Linked DNA regions of Callithrix jacchus. The protein of the gene in region 1 interacts with the protein of each later gene in a biochemical or structural test. Links are inferred from orthologs where the notes say so. Each region holds a gene or a part of one and is shown in the gene's direction. Other genes may lie near its edges. The genes, in order: BCL2L2 and BIK.

Region 1 (7,906 bases):
GGCACAAAATTTCTAAAACATTAACCAAGCAGAATGGAAATTAAGCAACCCAACAGAAGTTCCTTCACATTTAAATGACTACCCTACTTCTATGCAAAGGCAGACCTAGGGAGTTAAGGTAAGCAGGGCCAGACCACATTAGAAGATTATTGAGGTCTGCTCCAAGATAGAGGTCATTAAAGGAGAAAGGCTCCAAGGTTCTACATCAGCACTGTCCACTAGAAATATAATGCAAGCTATATGTAGTTTTACATTTTCTAGTAACCTCATTTAAAATGCAAAAATAAATCAAACCAATTTTAATAATATTCTATTTAGCTCAGTATATAAAAATATTATTTCAATATGGAATTAATATTAAACAGTTAATGAATTATGTCACATTCTCTTTTTCATACTAATTCTTCAAAATTCAGTGTGTATTCAATACTTTCAGCACATCTCAAATTGGAGTCTCATGTTTCAAGTGGTCAGTAGCCATGTGTGACTCGTGGCTATCATACTAAAGTGTAACTCTAGATCGTAGATCAGTATTGTAGTCTGTAAATATTTCAAAGTAGTTTAAGATCATAGAGCATTATTGTAGTTTGTAAAAATTTCAAGAAAGGAGATAAAAATAGGGATGAAACTACCAAGTCAGCAAATGTTTATGTTGTTTGGTGAGAAGACTTTTCTCTTCTGGGAAGAACTATGGATGCCCTTACCCATTTTTACCACTTAATTCTCCTTTTCTCAGCTCCACTCAGCCACTCCTTCCTCTCTTTCTTTTCTTACTTTCTTCCCTCCCCTTTCTTCTTTCTTCTTTCTCTTTCTCCCCTCCTTCTCTTTTTCTTTCTGCCTTTCTTTCTGTTTCTCCCTTCCTTCTTTCCATCTTTTTCTTTTCTTTTCTTTCTTTTTCTTTCCTTCCTTTCTGTAACAGAGTCTCGCTCTGTTGTCAGGCTGTAGTGCAGTGGTGCCATTTCGCTCACTGCAGCCTCTGCCTCCCAGGTTCAAGTGATTCCCCTGCCTCAGCCTCCTGAGTAGCTGGGACTACAGGTGTGTGCCACCGTGCCCGGCTACTTTTTTTGTATTTTAGTAGAGACGGGGTTTCACCATGTTTGCCAGGATGGTCTCGATCTCCTGACCTCATGATCCGCCTGCCTTGGCCTCCCAAAGTGCTGGGATTACAGGTGTAAGCCACCACACCTGGCCAATTCCCTTCTAGTAATACATCTTCCCCTCTTCTGGGGCACAATATCATTTGGAGTTTCACTTTTTCCAAAACTCCATGGTCCTCTGTGTATAGGTTATTATTACTTAAAGAGAATTATAATGGGCGAATCTCACGTCATTACATACCAAATTAAAAAAAAATTCATTCTCAGAGGAAAACTTATCTGATATTCTCTATGCTTTAACAACAAGTAAGATATTAAAATAAGAGTATTTATTTAGTTTTTACTTTTTTTAAAAAAAGATTATTCATTACTGAAGATCACTTACTCAGTTATTTATTGAGCAGAGTGATAGGCAAAGGGAATACAAATATAAGATAGTTCCCTCTCTTTTACAGTTTATAGACTAATAGGGAAGGACCTTATTTTATAGGTCACCATTCAAAAAGCTTTTTTTTTTTTTGAGACAGTTTCACTGTGTCACCCAGACTGGAGTGCAGTGTCACCCAGACTGGAATGCAGTGGCATGATCTCAGCTCACTGTAACCTCTGCCTCCCAAGTTCAAGTGATTCTTGTGCCTCAGCCTGCTGAGTAGCTAGGATATAGGAACACACCACCATGCCCAGCTAATTTTTGTATTTTTAGTAGAGATGGGGTTTCTCCATGTTGGCCAGGCTGGTCATGAACTCCTAACCTCAGGTGATCCTCCTGCCTTGGCCTCCCAAAGTGCTGGGATTACAGGCATGAGCCACCATACCTGGCCCTCAAATAGCTTTTCAAATATGTTTGCTTTTTTTATTTTTATTTTTGAGACAGGGTCTCACTCTGTAACTGAGGCTGGAGTACCATGATCATAGCTCACTATAGCCTGCAACTTCTGGGTTCAAGTGATCCTCCTGTCTCAGCCTCTGGATTAGCTGGGACTATAGGTGCATGTCACCATAATCAGCTAAATGTATTTGATCTTTTCATAAGGTAATCATGTCTATTAGAAAAAGTTTGAAAGTTGCAGTGATTAAAAAAAAAATAAATATGGGCTGGGCACAGTATCTCATCCCTGTGATCCCAGCACTTTGGGAGGCTGAGTTTGGTGGATCACTTAAGCCTAAGGAGTTTGGGACCAGCCTAAGCAACACAGTGAGACAAAAAACAGAAAAAATTAGCTGGGCATGGTGGTCCATGCCTGTAGTCTCAGCCATTTTGGAGGCTGAGGAGGGAGGATTACTTGAGCTAGGAGGTTGAGGCTGCAGTCAGCTGTGATCATGCCACCGTACGCTAGCCTGGGCGACAGACACCCTGTCTCAAAAATAAGAGCAGCAAAATAAACAAGTAAATAAATGAATAGTGACTGTGGAAAACTTATAGAAAGAAAATGAATCATAATGCTATCACCCAGAGAGAACTACTATTTTGTCATACTTCTTTTCAGTATTTTTTTGTCTGCTTTTATGATCATACAATTTTGTATACTGCAATTCTGCTTACCATTATATTGCAAGCATTTTTCCTTGATGTTAAAATGTTTCAAAAGCATAGTGACTATATAAAATTACATCTACTTCTATACAATAATTTTAATGCCCAATTGGTCATTTGTCTGTATTTTTTCACTTTGATAAAAATATTTATTCTGATGGAGCATGATGGCTCACACCTGTAATCCTAGCACTTTGGAAGACCAAGGTGGGAGGATTACCTGAGCTCAGGAGTTCGAGACCACCCTGAGCAACATGGTAAACCCTATATCTACTAAAATACAAAAAATTAGCTGAGCATGGTGGTGGCACGCCTGTAGTCCCGGTTACTCAGGAGGCTGAGGCACAAGAATTGCTTGAGCCTCGGAGGTGGAGGTTGCAGTAAGCCGAGATTACACTTCCTCATTCCAGCTTGGGCTGTGGAGTAAGACTCAGTCTCAACAAAACAAATAAAAAATATTTATTCACAAATGTTTATTCACAAATTGGATTACATTTTTAGAGGAGATAAGAAAAAGAATCTTAACCTTTTTTTTTTTTTGAGAGAGAGTCTCACTCTGATGGCCCAGGCAGGAATGTAGTGGTGTGATCTCTGCTCACTGCAACCTCCACCTCCCAGGTTCAAGCATTTCCCCTGCCTCACCCTCCCGAGTAGCTGGGATTACAGGCGCTCACTACCACACCTAGCTAATTTTTGTATTTTTAGTAGATATGGGGTTTCACTGTTTTGGCTAGGCCTTGGGTGATCTGCCTGCCTTGGTTTCCCAAAGTGTTGTGATTACAGGTGTGAGCCATCTTTCCCAGCTTTTCTCTTTTTTTTTTTTCTTTCTTTTTTTTGAGACAGGGTCTCACTCTGTTGCCCAGGCTGGAGTGCAGTAGCATCCTTACGGCTCACTGCAGCCTCAGCCTCCCGAGTAGCTGGGAGTAGCAGGGACTGCAGGTGCACACCACCATGCCCATCTAATTTTTTTATTTTTAGTGGAGAAGGGGTTTTGCCATATTGCCCAGGTTGGTGTTGAATACCTGGGCTCAAGCAATCCAGCTCCCAAAGTGTTGGGATTACAGGTGTGAACCACTGCGCCTGGCCTTAAGAATCTCAACATTTTAAAAGCTTTTGGTACATATTGCCAAAGACTAGAAAGATTGTACTGGTTTTTGCTCTTTTCCTCCCATGCCTAAGTGTTTTTAAAAATCAGATATAGTTGTAATTATATTTTATGTACAATTTTACATTCTACTTCCTTGGCTTAACAAGATTATTTTTGCATGTTTGTCGCACTATGTAAACCTTTTAATAGACGCATAATAATATTTTATTGGATATAATTGTAGTTTGCTTAAACTTTTATCTATTGTTGGAATTTGTCTTTCCATTTTTCACACATAATTTTTTGTGCATTAAAGCAGGCCTTATCTGAACTTTGAAAGCTGGCTTTGAATTCCCTGCACACTGTTATATGCATTATATAATATATATTATGTATACTATATTATGTATAATATATATTATGTATATATTCTATATGTATAATTATATTACATATAATATATAATATATATAATATATATTATATAGAATATATATTATATGTAATATATATTATTATTTATATTTTTTCCTTTGTGACAGTGTCTTGCTGTTGCCCAGGAGATTCTCCTGTCTCAGCCTCCTGAGCAGCTGAGTTACAGGCATGTGCCACCACACCCAGCTAATTTTTGTATTTTTGGTAGAGATGGGATTTTGCCACGTTTGCCAGGCTGGTCTGAAACTCCTGGGCTCAGGTGATCCTCCTGCCTCAGCCTCCCAAAGTGCTGGGATGAGCTACCATGACATGAGCTACCACCGTGCCCAGCCAGCCTTGCACACTTCTAACTAGTCCAATGACTTAGACCTAAGTTTTTTCACTTCATTAAGCCTTTTTCTTTTTCCCTCAAAAAAGTTATGGATTTGGAAATATTTTCCTCACGGGGTTGTTGTGAGAGTCCAATGAGATCATATAATAAGGAGTGGTGCTTAACAAAAATAGGATTCAAACACATTTTTAAAAATCACATCTCCTTTTGTTGGCTTGATTAAATTGGGCACCAATAAGATAAACAAATCTTAATTAGGTTAAGATCAGTATAAAAGACCTTTCTTCCAGGGCATTCAATCATTTAGAGCTTGTCTTCGGTGCTCAACGTTAGTTATCCCAGATCACACTGAAGCTGAAGTGGCTGATGAAGTAATTTGCAGTGAAATTTTAAGCGACTGTGACTCTGCTCCAAGTTCCCCAGATCTCGAGGTAAGGAATTGTGAGAAAAAGTGGGGGTGAGGGGAATAGTTGGGTATAATTCACTTTTGATTTTTTTGTTTTGCTAATGAGGATCTTCTCTTGTCCAACTCTCTCCGCCAACCATATTTGTTTAACTTTTTGGTTGGGCTCATATGAATCTTTTGAACTGTTGGTTAGTATGCCCACAAAAATTTCTCTTGCAAACTTAGCACTGCCATTCCTTCCTTTTTAATAAATGTGTAGGATTGCTACCAAAATGTGGCAATCCTGCCTTCCAGGGCTAGGTCTCATTTTGAGTGCAGCGGTATAGTGGGAACCTGCCAGGAGAAATTCCTCTGGAATCTTGAGGGCTGAAATGAAGGGTGGCACCCAGATCTCCAATCAGTGCATCTTCAGTCAACAAACATTCAACAGGACATTATGTGGTAGGCATATTGCCAGGCCGTGGAGATGCAAATATAAATAAGATCCAGCCCTTCATCTGTAGGCGCTCACAACCTAGTTAGGAAACAGCACAAAACCATTAAGTGCACAGTGGAGGTAGGCCCACTTGTCCTGGGAAAGGAGTGGAAGCTGGGGTTTGAAGAGGGACTACGTGTTAGAGGCACAGACTGGGTGCCTGTACACCCAATGGAACGAGAAGGGTGTAAATTAATCACATGCTGGGGTGTCAAAGGCAGTGATTTACAGTTTTGAGACTTTACCTCACCAGCAAAAGGGGCCAGTCTGTTAGTGGTGCAGACTGGAGGGGAGACACTGGAAGCTGCCCATTCAAGAGAAGAAAATGGAACTAGGGAGCAGAAGGCCTACGCAAGAGGGCGGGAAAGACAGAACTCGTGTCAAGTAGCTCTGGACTGAGCAATCCTTCCTGCTTTCTGGTGTGGGAGAGCTAGTGGATGATGGTGCCAATAACCTGGATGGGGAAAGTAAGCTCCCTCCTGGAATGCTCCATTCACAACCTCCATTTTCAGCAATATCCCATCTACTGATTCTTCCTGGTCAGGATACAAGTTTCCTGAAGCGGCCGCTCTGTTTCAGGCCTCGTCCGCCCAACAGCTCACTAGCCAGCCAGCAGTAGTACCAAGATGGCGGCCCCCTGAGGACTGGCTAGTCATGTGACCTCGGGTTTCCCAAGTTTGAAGCCCAGCAGTCCGTTCGGGGGCAAGGTTCGCCTGTCACAAAATGAATGTCAGCCCTTCGAATCTCGCGAGCCAATCGGCATGTAAGACTGGGCCACGGCGGTGAAGCGATCGGAAGATTGGTCCTTTCCAGTCGCCTAGCTAGGGCCAATCACGGAGCGTCCTATACTTCGCGGGCCCGCCCATAGGCCGGGGAGAAGTAGGAATGTCGTCACAGCGTGGCGGTATTGTTACCTAAGGACTCGATAGGAGGTGGGACGCGTGTTGATTGACAGGCAGATTTCCCCTACTGGGATTTGAGAATTTGGCGCAGTACCCCCGCCTTAGAGGTGGGGTCTTATTTGATTGCCAAGTAATATTCCCCAATGGAGTACTAGCTCATGGTGACTGGCAGGCAGCTTGACTAATGAGTCCTCGGCGTGGCCGGCGCAGCTCTCCAATCGCCGGGCGGCGGGCCCCAGTCTGAGCGGCGATGGCGGCGGCGGCGGCGGCGGCAGCAGCAGCGGGGGCTGCGGGCGGTCGGGGCTCCGGGCCGGGGCGGCGGCGCCATCTTGTGCCCGGGGCCGGTGGGGAGGCCGGGGAGGGGGCCCCGGGGGGCGCAGGGGACTACGGGAACGGCCTGGAGTCTGAGGAACTGGAGCCTGAGGAGCTGCTGCTGGAGCCCGAGCCGGAGCCCGAGCCTGAAGAGGAGCCGCCCCGGCCCCGCGCCCCCCCGGGAGCTCCGGGCCCTGGGCCTGGTTCGGGAGCCCCCGGCAGTCAAGAGGAGGAGGAGGAGCCGGGACTGGTCGAGGGTGACCCGGGGGACGGCGCCATTGAGGACCCGGTGAGGGAAGGAGGGCGAGCGATCAGGCCGGCGGCTGACTGGCCGGGTCACGGGAGGCCCAGAGCTCGGGCGAGCGGGAGGCAGGCGGGGGGTGGGGTTGGGCGGGGAATAACGTGGCTGGGGCCCAGTCGGGCCGGGATGGGTCCGCGATCACTACAAGGGGCCCGACTGGCTTGATTCGGGCGTCACGGGAGCCAAGTGTTGTTCTAGAGAGGGTAGCTTGCTTTTCTTTTCATCATGACCCTCGCGTGGGGCGAGGGAAATGGCCGAGCATGGCTGAGGCCGCGCTCCGGCCGAGACCAGGGCAGAGCCCCTGCGTTGGTTCTTCTTAAGCTCTTCTCCATACCCTTTCCACTTGTATTAGGAGCTGGAAGCTATCAAAGCTCGAGTCAGGGAGATGGAGGAAGAAGCTGAGAAGCTAAAGGAACTACAGAACGAGGTAGAGAAGCAGATGAATATGAGTCCACCTCCAGGCAATGGTGAGTAACTGGCGGTTGCACGCAGAGCCCGGGTTCTCGGGTTGGAAGGGTTGTAGGGAGGATGGGGAATGTGGGGTTAGATACTTGGCATCCTGGAGCTGGTTGTCTGAGCTATTATGACTGTGCCGCGGTCATAGTCCGTTGTGTGTTCCTCTGACCTTTGTGAGGCAGAACCTATATTTTGGTGGTGGTAGCCTTGTGCCTGCCTCCCTTTGTCCTTGTTATAATTGTGCTGTTCTTTGTTCTTGGTCTACCTCTATCCTTCTTTTTAGAGGTTGCCAGCTCGCATTTGACCTTCAAATCTAATAGTTTTTCCTCCAATCGGAGACGTTTCAGTTAGGATTCTAAGAGAAAACAAGCTGGAGGGGTTTCCCCTTTAATCTAGAAATGTAGAGTCTCAGCCCACTTAATTTTGTTCACTCTTAAAAGCATTTCAATGTAAACCATTCATTGGGGACTTGATTGGAGGTAGGAGAGATTCCTATACTGTTTTAAGTGTGTATTAATTTATTCTTTAAGTTTGTCGAATATTTAGCGAGTACCTGCTTTGGATTAGGCA
Region 2 (7,277 bases), on another chromosome or scaffold:
ATGGATGCTGAATCTCCTCCAAAGAGGCAGCACTTGTGCATCCACTGTGGCATTCTGAGCTGTGAGCGGCCTCTGATCTCTTCTGAGACTGTTGTTTGAGTTAACCAGCTTTTATGGAGCCCCTGCGAGGTGGCGGAAAATGGACAGTAGTGTATCTTCTCATCCTCTCAGCAGCCCTGGAGGCCTCGCTGTCACTGCAAGGCTGAGGTTAGCAGGTAGCTCTGCCTCACACAGCAGGGGCCAAGCAGGGAGTGGAACTGAGGTCCTGCCTGGCTGCAAGGTCAGGGCATTTCCTGCTGGATTGCACCTGAGTTGAGCCTGCTCCAAGGGCTTTGTGTCACCCCACCCTCATGGTCCAGGACCAGGCTGTGCCATTACAGAAGACTGGACCAGGGTTTTTTTTTTGAGGCAGAGTTTTGCTCTCGTTGCCCAGGCTGGAGTGCAGTGGTGTCATCTTGGCTCACTGTGCCCGGCCTCCACCTCCCTGGTTCAAGCGATTCTCCTGCCTCAGTCTATCATGTAGCTGGGATTACAGGCATGCACTATCATGCCCAGCTAATCTTTTGTATTTTTAGTAGAGACAGGGTTTCTCCATGTTGGTCAGGCTGGTCTCAAACTCCAGACCAAAGGTGATCCACCTGCCTCCACCTCCCAAAGTGCTGGGATTACTGGTGGGAGCCATCGTGCCCAGCCTGGACTAGGGCTTTCTAGCTGGGCCAACTCAGCTGACCGTCCCTGTGGACCCAGGGTGGCCCCTGGCCCTCTTGGTTTGCCTGCCTGTGACACAGAAGTGTCAGATCCCACTCGCTTAGACTGGACTGAGTGAGTTCCTGAGAGTCTGAGGGTCCCTACGGGAGCTGGACCCCACCCCCACCATCCTGCAGCCTCAGCCCTTGAACGCCTGCTGAGGGCTGTGCACGATGCATCTCTACTTGCTTGGGCTTTTGAAGGACCTGGGAGGGGCCTGGGAGGTAGCTGGCATTTCCTCATCTCTGAGATGAGCCCTAGGCATGCTGTTGAGTACAGAGCTGTTCACCAAATGCAGGCTGCTCTGTTCAGAACCTGCCCTCCTGCCCACTCTGAGCCCTGCAGGTGCCCTCAAGGCTGTGGGTGTGGCGCTGCTTCTGCACACATTAGATTTGCATCCTAACCTCTTAGGGTAAAACAGGGCTTCCGACTGGCCACTGGTGTTTCCACTGGTGAGCGTGTAGGAGGCCAAGTGTGGGCTGCAGCCTGGGTGGGGACACAGGGCTAGGTGTGTCTTCCTTCACCAAAGAAGGGTTTTACCTACTCATTTGCAAGTTTGCTGGAAAAAGAAAGATAATAAAACCAGTCCAGTTTCCTGGATCTGCAGCTGCAGTGACCTCATGGTGGGTCCTCTGGGAATAGATTGCCTTCATGTCTTCAGTCAGCAAACGTTATGTCTGCTCTGCCAGGCCTTGGGCAGAGCAGCAGCTCCTCTCTCAGCGGTTAACTCTTGGGCCAGGTCATTTCATCCTCACAGCGGTCTTGTGCAATAGGTGTTACTAGTACCGCCATTCTAATTTTTTTTCTCTGAGGCAGAGTTTTGCCCTATAGCACAGGCCGAAGTGCAGGGGTGCGATCTGGGCTGACTGCAACCTCCGCCTCCCAGGTTCAAGCAATTCTCCGGACTCAGTCTCCCAAGTAGCTGGGATTACAGGCGAGTGCCACCATGCCTGTCTGATTTTGTATTTTTGGTGGAGACGGGGGTTTCACCGTGTTGGCCAGGCTGGTCTCAAACTCCTGACCTCAGGTGATCCACCTGCCTCCACCTCCCAAAGTGCTTTGGGAGATGTTGGGACAGGGGATCGAGGCAAGGCTCAGTGCAGCTCACAGTGAGTTGAGTCCACTGCGGCTCTCTCTTTGCAGGGCGTAGAGGTAGTCTGATTTCCACAGGGGCACAGAGCAGGAGAGGAGAAGGCCTTTTCTGCAGGGGTAGGGAATGCGGGAAAAGCGAACCAGGGCTGGAGCTGCTTTCTTAGGGAAATGGCTATTTGCATAGACACCCATGGCAGCCAGCAGTTCTGGACGAAGTCCTTTTTAATGCCACCTTGACACACATGCTGCTGGCAATCTACACAATGTTAAAACATCTTACCTGTGGAGTCAGGATCCAGCTGTGTCACCCAGGTTGGAATGCTATTACACGATCAGAGCTCACTGTGTAGCCTCCGCCTCCCAGGTTCAAGTGATTCTCTTGCCTCAGCCTCCCAAGTAGCTGAGACTATGGGCGTGTACCACGACAGCTGGCTTTTAATTTTATTTTGAGACGAAGTTTCGCTCTTGTGCCCAGGCTGGAGTGCAATGGCATGAGCTCACCACAACCTCCGCCTCCTGGGTTTAAGCGATTTTCTTGCCTCAGCCTTCTGAGTAGCTGGGATTAGAGGCAAGTACCATCATACCCGGCTAATTTTGTATTTTTATTTTACTCGACAGTCTTGCTGTGTCGCCGAGACTGGAGTGCAATGGCACAATCTCTGCTCACTGCAACCTCCTCCTCCTGGGTTCAAGTGATTCTCCTGCCCCAGCCTCCAGAGCAGCTGGGGTTACAGGCATGTGCCACCATGCCCAGCTGATTTTTTGTATTTTTAGTAGAGATGGGGTTTCACCATGTTGGTCAGGCTAATCTCGAACTCCTGACCTTGTGATCTGCCCACCTTGGCCTCCCAGGGTGCTGGGATTACAGGCATGAGCTACTGAGCCCATCTGAATTTTGTATTTTTAGTAGAGACAGAGTTTCTCCATGTTAGTCAGGCTGGTCTTGAACTCCCGACCTCAGGTGATCCACCTGTCTCGGCCTCCCAAAGTGCTGGGATTACAGGTGCGACCATGCCCAGCCCATCCTCTCCTTTTAATGCTGAGAGCAAGTTATGAGAACACACTTGTGCCTAGGCCTGTGAGAGGGCTGCCCTGTGGGTCCTGCCTGCCATCAGTCCTCCCTGGCTTGGGGAATAGGGAGATTTGGAGCTCTGTCTCTTCTTGGCTCAATCATGAACTTCTCCAAGCCTCAGTGTCCTGTTGGAACAAACAGTTCAGTGAGACAGTGGGAGGTCAGAGCGTTCTATCAGTAGGCATGGGGGATTAAAAATTCATAACACCCAGGGCGTTATAGTAAGAAAACAATGAGTTGAAGCACAAAAGTGATAATGGCTAGTGCCAGTTTCCTCCCAGTGTGCCAGGCTCTGTTCAGACTACTAAGGAGTTCCTTGTTTCATCTTTCCAATAGCCCAGGGAGGGGTACTCAGACCATCTAACCCATTTCACAGATGAAGAAGCGGACACACTGCTGCTAACTGCCAGAGCTGGGCTTTCAACTAGGCCATTAGATTCTCATCCCACAGTCAGCAGCATCATCATTTCCCAGATTTAAGGCTGTTCATGCTGTGGGGTACATTATGGTGAATCGGGTCCCTTCTGCCATCATCATGAAACATTTCTTGATGTGAGAATCTGCAGTGATCATAGTTAGAAAGGCCTTTGGTGTCAAAGAACAGAAAACTCAGTGAATGGTGATGAGGACAGATTTGGGTTCATTTTTCTTAAACACAGTTGGAGGAGGCAGCTCAGGGACACCCTCAGGCCTGGGCGCTCTCTGCCTACCTTCTCTGCTGTTCTTGGCCACCTGCTGCAGCTCCATCTTTGGAGGAAGGAGAGTTGAGCTGCCCTGGCTGTTTGCTCCCTGGCATCCAACCCCTGCCTCCAGCCTCTGAGCCCTCATTGACCAGAACTGGGTGACATGGCTGTCACCAGCTGCAAGAGATGCTGGGAACCTGGGGGAGAGGAGGGCCATGGCTGGCTTAGATGGATAAGGATGCAGGGCCACCCTGAAGAAAAGGGGGATTTGGGAGCTCACGAGTTTCGGAAAAACACTAGAAGAATTCGCGATGGTCTCTCTGGGAATAGGAGTTGTGATAACATCTTTCTCATTTTGCTTCTCTCTGCCTTAAGAGAAAGCAGACATCAAAGAACAGGTGTGGTCTTCTGCTAAGCGGTGCAGACTAGCCTGGCCAACATGGTGAAACTCCCTATCTACTAAAAATACAAAAAATTAGCTGGGCCTGGTTCCGTACGTCTGTAGTCCAAGCTGCTTGGGAGGCTGAGGCAGGAAAATTGCTTGAACCGAGGAGGCAGAGATTGCAGTGAGCCGAGATGGTGCCACTGTGCTCCAGCCTGGTGACAGCAAGAATCCATCTCAAAAAAAAAAAAAAAAGGAAGAAAGCAAGCAAGGGCCCTTATGAATCAAGTCCTGAGATGCTGGGTGACTTGCCCGGAGGCACACAGCCAGCGTGTAGCAGGATTCATGCCTGTGGGAGCTGGGGTTGGGGGATGTTGATGGTGTTAGCGATCAAGAGAGAGGGCGAGTAGGGCTATGCAATCCTGGAGGTCATCCTCTGAGTGAGCCCCAGATTGCTCAGTTCTGAGGGGTCCAGTGTACTCTTTTTGCCCCAGAGGAGAAATGTCTGAAGTAAGACCCCTCTCCAGTGACATCTTCATGGAGACCCTCCTGTGTGAGCAGTTCGTGGATCCCCTGACCATGGAGGTTGTTGGTGGGAGTGACCCTGAAGAGGACCTGGACCCTGTGGAGGACCCTTTGGAATGCATGGAGAACAGGTAGGTCCCTGTGGCCTGCCTTGGGCCCCAGCTCTGCCCCAGGCCTGGTATTGACTTCATGGGTGGGCTGGATGAGCAGACCTTCTAAGAGGGAGGGAGTGTCTGCAGATGCCTCCCAGGCAGGGCCCCCAAGGAACATGCCCTAGATGTGGGCATGGAGGCTTCTGCCCTGGGAGCAGCTTCACTTTGCTGCCCCCACCCCCACCCCACACCCCTGATAGATGGACAGATCCGTGGACAGCCAGCATGTTCACAGTGCCAAGACGGACCTGCAGTCACTTCCCCATGTTCCACCGCCCCACCACCAGCTCACAGACCCCTGGAGAGCCAGCATGTTGACAGTTCCAAGACGGACCTAGGGCCACTGGCTGTCCAAATGGCACTGTGCTGGGGCCTCGCTTGACAGGCCCTTTGCAACCTGCAGAGCACATCAAGGCCTCTCGAAGGTGGCTCTGTTGGCAGAAGGGGGACCAGATCCAGATCGAGAGGGTTTTTAGATAAAGCAAGAAAGAATTTGAGCCAGGCTCAGTGGCTCGCACCTGTAATCCCAGCACTTTGGAAGGCCGAGGCGGACAGATCCCCTGAGTTTGGGTTCAAGCAATTCTCCTGCCTCAGCCTCCTGAGTAGCTGGGACTACAGGCACACACCACACCCAGCTAATTTTGTATTTTTAGTAGAGACGGGGTTTTACCATGTTGGCCGGGCTGGTCTCAATCCGCCTGCCTCAGCCTCCTGTGGGATGACAGGCGTAGCCCCTGCACCCGGCCGTGTTTGTCTGTGTGGGAGCGGATGTGGTGAGGCAGAGGTGTGTGTGCCCCATTCTGAGAGGGGTGGTGCCAGCAGGGCCGGTTTCAGGATTGGGAACCGGGACACAGGTCTTATACAGCCTCACCTCCCACAAAGGAAGGTAAGTTGCAACCCACGTGGGAAGCCAGCACAGCCACTGTAGGGGGCACAGTGCTCCCCAGACCTGCCCCAGGATTCTCCAGGGAAGCTCAGAAACCCCTGAGTTCTGCATGTTCAGTCATCCCTGGGTGCCAGGGCAGGCTGCCTTGGGAGACTCACCTGTTCACTCAGTTGCCCCAGACACCAGTGCCCTCTCCCCTCCCCACCCAAGGTGGGGCTCAGCCTGTACCACAAGCCCTCTGCCCACTATGCTAATGGGTAGACATGGGGCACAAGAGGGCCTGGGACAGGCACCCACTCAGGCTGCTCCCTGCTGTCTCTGGCACCCCTGTGGCCAGCCCAGCAGGGATCATTTGAAATGGTTTGCACCTCTGGTATCTGGGTCCCATGGATGGGACTTCAAGGGTGTCTCTGAAGCCAAGTGGGAGCTGGAGGAGGGATGCAGGGAGGCCCACTCACCACCTGCCCCGAATCTGACACCATCTCTCTCTGGGCCACTCTTAGCCGCACACAGTCCATTGGCTGGGTGGGTCCAGGTGCGTTTGGCCTCCATGACACAGCCACACCCCTGATTCCTGTGTGTGCTCCCCGCAGTGACGCACTGGCCCTGCAGCTGGCCTGCATCGCGGACCAGATGGATGTGAGCCTCAGGGCCCGGAGGCTGGCCCAGCTCTACGAGGTGGCCATGTACAGGTAACCGGCCTGTGCCCTGCTGGGGCCTCTACACCTGGGGAGAGACTCTGGGTGGGGGGTGGATGCCCTAAATGCAGCACAGGGCCCTGAGGAAGTCCTGGTGGGGACATGCCCCTGACACTCTGGGGCTATACTGAAATCCTTTGCTACTGCCTGCACCTCCCTTGGGAGCCCCCAGCTCCCGGCCCTGGCCCCTGCCACCTGTCCTGGGTATTCCTGGGCAATAGATAAAGCAGAGCCCAGGGCTCTTTTCCCTCTCACCTTCTTATGAAGCCCAGATGGTCCATTTCCGCTATGGTCTTAAAAGGAGCTGCTACATGAGCTTGCATCCTAGACCCTGGGGGGCCGGGGCTCTCAGCTGGTCTCGGGGGTAGAATGGTGGGTAGTGACTTGCCAGGGCCCTGTAGAGTGGGGGTTTATTTTCCATGTGGCCAGCTCCGGAAGACAGGGCCAGTGGGCTGGCGGGCAGCTGGGGGAGGAAGCAGGAAATCGGTATGAATTTGACCACAAACAGCCCATGCAGAGCGGTCCCTGTGGGTGGAGGTGCCCAGGGAAAGGGCCCAGGTGGCTGTGGGGTGGAGGGTGCAGGTCCCCCGCTCCCTACATCTGTGATAATGTCATCTAAGTACAGGCTGTCGTTACCTGTTCCTGTGGTAACCCCTTTGCCCCCATCCCCTTTGTCTGTAGCCCGGGTCTCGCTTTCGTCCTCGACCGGACCGACATCGGGGATGTTCTTAGCGGTGTCGTGGATGTTTTCGCTAACTTCCAGGAGGACATAGTGAGGCTCTGGAGATCCCTGAGCTCCGGGTCCTGGGTAAGAGCCTTGAGATTTCTGTATCTGACTTGCGCTGTGGTCAGAGAGGGCTGTCAGAGCCGCTCCTTAGGGCGCCGCAGTCCCTTCTGCTCCCTGTCATCTTGTGTCCCATTTCCACATCTGCCTGGTCCCACGGGCTTTTGGGTTTGAGATTCCTGGTTGCGAGTGCACAAACCAGTGCAGGGTCCTCTTTCTTTCTCTGCCCTGAGAGCCCTCACCGACAGAGAGGACT

What was found.
Region 2: the proteins of BCL2L2 (region 1) and BIK interact in a biophysical measurement, tested with the Homo sapiens proteins (2 studies listed by BioGRID and IntAct, with this or other methods). The link is inferred for Callithrix jacchus from reciprocal best matches to the Homo sapiens genes BCL2L2 and BIK.

Annotation. Positions count from the first base shown.
Region 1 is NC_133509.1:57,658,287-57,666,192, forward strand, and holds the end of BCL2L2 (bcl-2-like protein 2), read left to right. Parts: intron 1-4,774; coding exon 4,775-4,915; intron 4,916-5,944; coding exon 5,945-6,025; 3' UTR 6,026-6,153; downstream 6,154-7,906. Other genes in the region: PABPN1 (polyadenylate-binding protein 2), read left to right, coding at 6,518-6,868, 7,233-7,347. UniProt on the Homo sapiens protein: Promotes cell survival. Blocks dexamethasone-induced apoptosis. Mediates survival of postmitotic Sertoli cells by suppressing death-promoting activity of BAX.
Region 2 is NC_133502.1:188,643,214-188,650,490, reverse strand, and holds part of BIK (bcl-2-interacting killer), read left to right. Parts: intron 1-4,470; 5' UTR 4,471-4,477; coding exon 4,478-4,632; intron 4,633-6,132; coding exon 6,133-6,231; intron 6,232-6,918; coding exon 6,919-7,045; intron 7,046-7,277.